2 linked regions of the Styela clava genome follow. The protein of the gene in region 1 purifies or fractionates together with the protein of each later gene. This does not show direct contact. Links are inferred from orthologs where the notes say so. Each region holds a gene or a part of one and is shown on either strand. Other genes may lie near its edges.

Region 1 (3,759 bases):
TAATATGCGACAACGTTTGGATTTTGCGAAATCTTTGAAATAAGAACTACCGGTAACTGTCATCCATCTCTCTCATATCGGGATCGTTGCGACGAGAAAACGAGAGAAATAGCTCTTCGATTTCGGGTGCCCGTCTCGAATGACAGTTCGTATAGTTTGAAGGGCTCTATTACGTCACTGTGAGGTCGTACTGACGTAATTTTTAGGTGGCGTAGTCAGATGGGGGTTAGGATTGACAGATAAAAATTGTTATGCTACGTCCACTAGAAGTATGTTAGGTACGAAACTACATGAGACCCCATTTTTGTTGGGTCTTATTTGAGCAGTTACGGCGTTTATTTCTCATCGCAATTTTGTTAGGCGCTATTTAAGCAATTACGGCGTTTACGTTACTAGACCCTTCATTTTCACACCACATTTCTGTTTACTGGTTTAGGGGTAGTTACAGACTTAAGCAGTTACGGCGTTTGCTTCACGAGACCCCAGTTATTTGTTTGAGATGCATGGACTTAACGATAGAGGAAGATATACCGTACAGATGAATATACCGACCAGGAGTTACTGAGTTATGTGAACCCACCCTTAGATCATAAGATGGAGAATGATTGATTGGTCAGTTACCGTAGTAGGGGAATCCAGCAATCTTCTGGCATATAGCCTAATTGTCCTCCACCGCATTCAAACCAGCGAATGATAATCCAGTAATCAGAGGTCAGGAGGTGCAATGTCAGAATGTCAAGCATATTCCTAACCCATTAACCCTTAGCATGCTACACCAACCTTTGAAAACTACAATTTGTTTGTCTTAAATGCATAAAATGGAACATGCAGCGGATAAATAATGCGTTGTATTATTGCAAATAACTGATTTTAATATATTGACATTGCATATGAAAACAAACAAAAAATATCTAAATTAGAGACTATTGAGTGATTGGTATGTATTGTCATATTGTGGCTAGTTTTTTCAATAATTGACTTGCTCATAAGACTGTACAGCCCGACAGCTGTAGGATAGCATAATTTATACATAACCTATATTTTGTATTTACTGTTTTTACGCTTTCATAATCTACAAAATAATTCATTAAAGAAATATGAAGCTTATTGCTGTATTGTAACTAGGTATTTGATTTGAAGCCATTGTGATTTTTCCTTGAAAAAGGCACAAGCAGTGCCATGGCATCTCATCTCTCTACTGGTGTGGTAAACCTGGCAATGGTCAGGGAAGAAGCAAGACGAGAATTGTTACGTTTACTTGACAAGTGTGCTGGACCGAAGGTAGATCTACTATAGGATTTTATTTTGGAAGTTGAAAAAATTACATTATTAACTCGTATGTTAAACAGGGTGCCATCTAGCCTCCATTGAAGGTTTAACTTTTCATGCTCATCACACCATACTAACCCAGTCGGACTGCCCATTGGATTAGCCTTTGGTATCACAAGATGATATATACGAAAATTTGAGGTGAATGTATTCATGCAACATTCATTTTTTCATACCACGCATGTTTTATGATGTCTATTCATGACGACCAAATCCCTGCCCTAGCAACCATTGATATCTAACTACAGTAAAGAACTACTATTTTTTCATAGGGAACGCTATCTGTCTTGTTAAGCATTGCCTACCCAATTCATCACACTCTTGATGAGGTTTGCGGGCATGGGATTCGAACAGACTATGACAACACATGCTTGAACCGCACACATTTATTTATATTACATTCGAATAAAAATCTATTCGCATTATATTATCAAAATAAGCGATGGCTATTGTTTTATTACCAGCTTTATATGTATCCTCTTTAGCCATGATCTCATTAAAATATTACCTTTCTAGGCATTGGTTTGGGACTATGCTCTCACAGATCGATTTGGTCTCATTGCTGAGTTTCCGCTGCTGAAAGAACATGAGGTTGAGAGAATGTTTCCACTTGCTGGAGGAAAACTTGCAAAATCTACTGTACAGCATATTATATTTATAACAAGGCCAAAATTAGATCAAATGGACTTTATTGCTCAGAATATACAGAGAGAGGAAGATGGAACAGGCTTTGGAAAAGAGTTTCACGTTTTCTTTGTACCGTGGAAAAGTTATCTTTGCCTTCAAAAGCTGGAGGTATTATTTCTTCGATCAAACGAGTGGCCGTATGATTACTGCCTTGTCGACTTTCCTTCCCCCAATGGGTTAAATATGAAATAAAATTGCTTTTATTTTTACCAGGAACTTGGAGTTTCAAGCATGCTGAAAAATATAGAAGAATACAGACTTGATCTTATTCCTCTGGAGTACGATCTTCTGTCTATGGAACATTATTCTTCATTATTTGACTGCACAATCAATGAAGATTACTCGTCACTTTATTTGGTTGCTAGAGCATTGAACAGCTTACAGAAACAGTTTGGAATTATTCCAAATATTCATTGCAAAGGCAGATATGCCCAGGTATTCTATGTGTATAATCTTACATTTGGTATATGGTTACATTATTAGAATTTACCATATAAGTATTTAATTTTGGCGTGATGGCATTTGAACATAAAATCCCATTAAAATATTGAAATATATCAATCGCAATTCCAAAATATTGCTTTATTTTTTATAGGCTTAGTCATCTATTTTCAGACAGGGATAGTGAACCACTGACCCATTGTGACACACCATGTCATTTTCGCCAATTCATGATTTATTTTAAAGAACATGCTAACATTTTTAATGATAAAAAAAATTTCGTAATAAGGCCACCCTTAATTCAATCGTCCAATAAGACACAACGCAGGATTATATAAGACTTGTCGAAGAGATGCAACAGCAAGTTTTTTATTGATGCAGACATTGTATAAATCTATGACGCTAAATTTTTCATCGAAACATGAAATAAAATATTTATTATTATAACCTTTGGATATCACCTCCCTGACCAAGCGAGTACTAAATGTAAATTTATTTTTTATTCATAGATGGTTTGTGAAATTATGAAAAGAATCCGACTTGAATCAAAAAGTAGTGAAGATGAAGGAGAGGTTCCTCCACAAATTGATAGATTATTGATTCTAGATCGTTCTGTTGATTTGTTGTCGCCGCTTGTTACCCAACTGACATACGAAGGATTGATAGATGAAGTTTATGAAATTAAAAATGGTAAATTTTTGATCAGCAAGTATAGGATGATTAATATTTTAAATTTGATCATGTTCTACTAGGGCCCTGGGGTCAAAGTTCATTATTTTTGCACTGGATTCAGAGTTGGAGCTGGAGACGTATTTTTCTAACTCCCCACAGTGGAAATTGTGAATGCCCTGGAGTCTTTAATTGGAGTTGTAGCCTTTCTCAATGGTGATAAATAAAGTCAAAACTTTTCACTAAAACTCAATGGGCATCTATTTTACTGGTGCTCCAGAAGTATGTGTACCAATATGGAGGTGACTAGTTTTGTTCGCCTACTTGGCATCAAATTGTGTAGGGAGGGACTGAAGCCCATGGGGGTATATGCACTTGGCTAACACAGAAAGTACCTGAACTCCCTAAACTATCCCTGTAAATAACTAAAATAAGGAAAATCGAAATAAAATTATGGCCTAACCCTAACCTAGTACACATACTACGGGAGTACCGTTTTAGTAATCATTCTTAGCAGTCTATTAATGAAGGCTTGCATACGCCAAAGTTGTGTCATCAAAATTTGATTTTCCTGGAGATGGAGTTGAAATTTTCTACAACCCGAAGTTTTGTTTTCTGTATAGAAGTCAAGTG
Region 2 (3,759 bases), on another chromosome or scaffold:
TATCATAATAACTATATATCATTCATTGGAAGTATTGGTTCATTGCTAGGTCACAGATGCGATTTGAAAGATAAAATATCCGATTAATAAAGTAAGACTGAGAGCAATACCAAAATTCAAAATAATTTGATTTGAGAAAAAATAGAACTTGTATTATTTAATTGTATATATAATAAATAAACCAAGTTTTAATACTACTTCCAAATTACCCAGTCATTTGCCCATGCAATTAGATGACCTTTCCACTTGATGTTTCTAACTAATCCTTCACCAGTATGTAGTGTTGTAGTTTTAGATCTTCCAAGCCAGCCTTTTTCATATAAAATCAAACTGTCGATACCATAAACCAGCTGCTTAGAACTATTTTTTGAAAAGCTTGGATCGAGAGCAACAGACTGTAAAACAGCAAATCGCATTCATAATCTTAGAGAAAGAGCAGAAGGGATTTATTTTCTAATATCAGAATGCTATTTAAAGCAGCTGAGTATCTAAGTTGAAGCAATTCCAAAAACACTTTAAAAAAGAGGTTTATCTAAACGTTTTTGTATGGCATGGCAATTGTATTTAATGATTTTGAGATGTGGAATAAATAAATATCCATTCCGAATACCCAGCAAGCATTTATTTTTGTGTCAATCTAACTAAAGTATAACATAGTTGAAAGCACTTGATATACAAACAATTACACATGGGTAATTTTGAAACCAGTAATTATTGATTTTCCATCACAAACTACAACCTTACAAACAAATATTTGACCCAACTTTACTACTTAACTAAGCCCAAGCGATCTCAGACATGTTATAATCAAGGGAAAACATAAATATAAGTGAACCCTTATGTGCTTAGAAGTGTAAACTGAACCAAAATTAGATGTTTACACAGAAGCTTGAAACTTGGGGTTTATTATATCTCTTACTAAAGACCATTCAGACCACCATACCTTCACAGGCCTGTCAACATTTATAGAGATGTTTTCAGTATCAGAATACAGCCCGACAACAACGACTTTTCCATCATCTGAGCAACTTGCTAAATATTCGCCGCCTTCATCAAGAGAAATCCCAGTGACTTGAGTATTGTGCTGTGTAATTTAATTTTTCAGATTACACAAACCTAAAAAAGTCACTATTCTCAATATAGAAATTTGAAATGAACCACAATGAAGTGAAACAATCCATTAAATAAAAAGATTTAGCAATTATTGGCATTCCCAAGTCTTTTTTAAATCAATGTTTCGAAGCGAGGGTCTGTAGTTTGAATTAGACCGGAGGTTCTCAATCCTTTTTTTATGTAGTCCTCCCTATTTTTAAACTCTTCATCATCTAGTCACTATGTATACACATAAACTTGGTTTCAGTTTGTCATTCAAGTTTTATTGGATCAATAATGGATTGTGATAGCTGATAGGCATAACTTGTACTATCTTTTATACAATTCGAACACTTTATAATATGTGCATACTATAATACTGAGTATGTGAAGAATATTAGTAATATTACAATTTAAATGCAAATATAATTTGAAATTTCCTGGCCCAGAACCTACGCAGTTGGAAAATGCTGAATTAGACACATGGAAAGCAAAATCATTGAATGAAATTCGGAATTAATTACTGATAAGCAAGTTCAATTACCATAACTATAAGCAGCAACATTAACTGGGTGCAGCCTTCTCATGTCTACGAAGAATATGATACTGAAAACTGATTGGTGTATCAAGTATAAAACAACCAAATGCCATTTTTTTTGCGCAAAATTAGAACTCAATAAGCTTACCGATTCAAATTGTTTGCTTGTGACTTTATTGCCATTATGATCCAATATATATATTTTCCCCCAGTGTGTTCCAAGTGCAACAAACTGAATAGAACAAAAACAATAAATAAAAGAATTTTGCCAACGAAAAAATTAGGATAAAAATGCTCACAATGTTATCTTACCTTGGATTGCATAACAACACATGATGCTGCATCTTCTGATAAAATTTTCAGAAGATCATTGCGAACTCTTTCATATTTCAATTGAGGTTCTTCTTCCTGATAAAAATTATTGGTTAGTTCAGTATAGTTTGAGTATAATTCTCATCATCTCATGTGTTTATGAGTCATTAAAATCAGTCTAGATAGTTTAATACAAAAATGAAAACAAAAGTTTAAAGGCACAAAACAATGAAATTCAAGATTTGCTAGTAAACGCAGGGACAGAATCCCTTCAATGCTCATGTTCTCATCCTTTATCAGCTTCTTTCTATACAATATTTCTCGATTGTAATGACTCTTTTTCAAATATAACAAAGCCATGAATACATATAGTTTATTGTAAAAAGCAACATAAGACATATCTGACATATAGTAATTTCTCAATTTAGAAGCTACTGTAAGTGCAGAAGTGATAATAAAATGACCCACCTCCGACTCCGAATCAATATCACTGTCAGATGACATCTTTTAGTTCACACAAATGAGTGACTTAAATACTGTAAATACAGAAATAGGTTAGGTGAAACTAGTTATTTATAACAAGAATTACAGAATTAATTGAATCTTGGATTCATTTCTTGTCATTGTGGTAAACTGCTTGTCCGAGCAAGTGCAGTTACTTTGGTGAGGGCCGGAAGCTGCCGCAAAACCATGGCGGGATAGGATTTACATATTTCTGTATTTATCTCGGGGGAGAGGAAAGCCGATAAGACGGCTTATCCATATGGCGAACTACGGCCTCGCTATAGAATGTAGGCTTTCTCGCTGTCGCGAATCATAAAGTGGCCTATTTTGTGAAATATACCATACTAACAGTATGAAAAGGTTAAATACATGTGATCCATAGTTACACAATGCACATTCGCTACACTATTTAGGCTTAGGCTACAAGTCGAGATCCAATTGTTGCTCGACAATATACAGATATAGATTCCACAAATAATGGTAAAATGGATGGTAAATTGCCGATCCTGACTGTGCATAATGCGCTGCCCCTAATACGACTACCGGTATGCATTGTGCCCAATGCGCTGCTCCTAATGCGAACTCACTGTGCCCAATGCGCTGCTCCTAATGCGACTACGCATTGTGCCCAACGAGCTGCTCCTTACAGCCTTATGCCTTATGCGGCCTCACTGTGCCCAATGCGCTACACATAATGTGATGCTCTCAAAGACTGAAAAAGCAAATTAATCACTGTTGCTACTATCTAAAAGTCGAGTCTGGCTTGTCATTATAGATTCCATAAACAATGGTAAAATGGATGGATGAATTGTCAATCCTGACTGTGCCCAATGCGCTGCTCCTAATGCAGTAATGCGATCTCGCATTGTGCGCAATGCGCTGCTCCTAATGAGGCTTCATTGTGCCCAATGCGCTGATCCTAATGCGGCCTCACTGTGCCCAATGCGCTGCTCCTAATGCGCCTCACTGTGCGTGATGCGCTGCGCGCAATGAGACTTTTAGGCTCCCAACACCTCTCACAGGCATCGTGCCAATCTGGAAAGCACGGCCGTTAGGATGGGATAAGATTTACATATTTATATTTAAAGGTTTTGCTCGTTCTCCAGAATTCTCCATTTTCAATTTTTTTGTGTTATCATATTGTGGAGTTGTCGAAACAAACTATTGGATCTCCGCTCTAGAAGACCCTTATTATCGGTCGTTCTGTGTCTGTCTGTGTATCTGTCTGTCTGTTTGGGCGTAGCGTCTAAACGGCTGGACGAATTGAGATGAAATTTTTCACGCGGGCTATCCTGTCACCCTAGTATTGTGAG

What was found. Proteins that work in one complex are often made in the same cells at the same time.
Region 2: the proteins of vacuolar protein sorting-associated protein 33A-like (region 1) and vacuolar protein sorting-associated protein 41 homolog purify together in Homo sapiens (affinity purification with mass spectrometry; 5 studies listed by BioGRID and IntAct, counting the BioPlex papers as one, with this or other methods). This does not show direct contact. The link is inferred for Styela clava from reciprocal best matches to the Homo sapiens genes VPS33A and VPS41.

The regions. Positions count from the first base shown.
Region 1 is NC_135257.1:17,180,985-17,184,743, forward strand, and holds the start of vacuolar protein sorting-associated protein 33A-like, read left to right. Parts: upstream 1-1,077; 5' UTR 1,078-1,179; coding exon 1,180-1,281; intron 1,282-1,845; coding exon 1,846-2,124; intron 2,125-2,229; coding exon 2,230-2,451; intron 2,452-2,966; coding exon 2,967-3,147; intron 3,148-3,759.
Region 2 is NC_135252.1:10,828,477-10,832,235, forward strand, and holds the start of vacuolar protein sorting-associated protein 41 homolog, read right to left. Parts: upstream 2,530-3,759; 5' UTR 2,447-2,529; coding exon 2,411-2,446; intron 2,039-2,410; coding exon 1,943-2,038; intron 1,863-1,942; coding exon 1,779-1,862; intron 1,085-1,778; coding exon 944-1,084; intron 396-943; coding exon 210-395; intron 1-209. UniProt on the Homo sapiens protein: Plays a role in vesicle-mediated protein trafficking to lysosomal compartments including the endocytic membrane transport and autophagic pathways. Acts as a component of the HOPS endosomal tethering complex.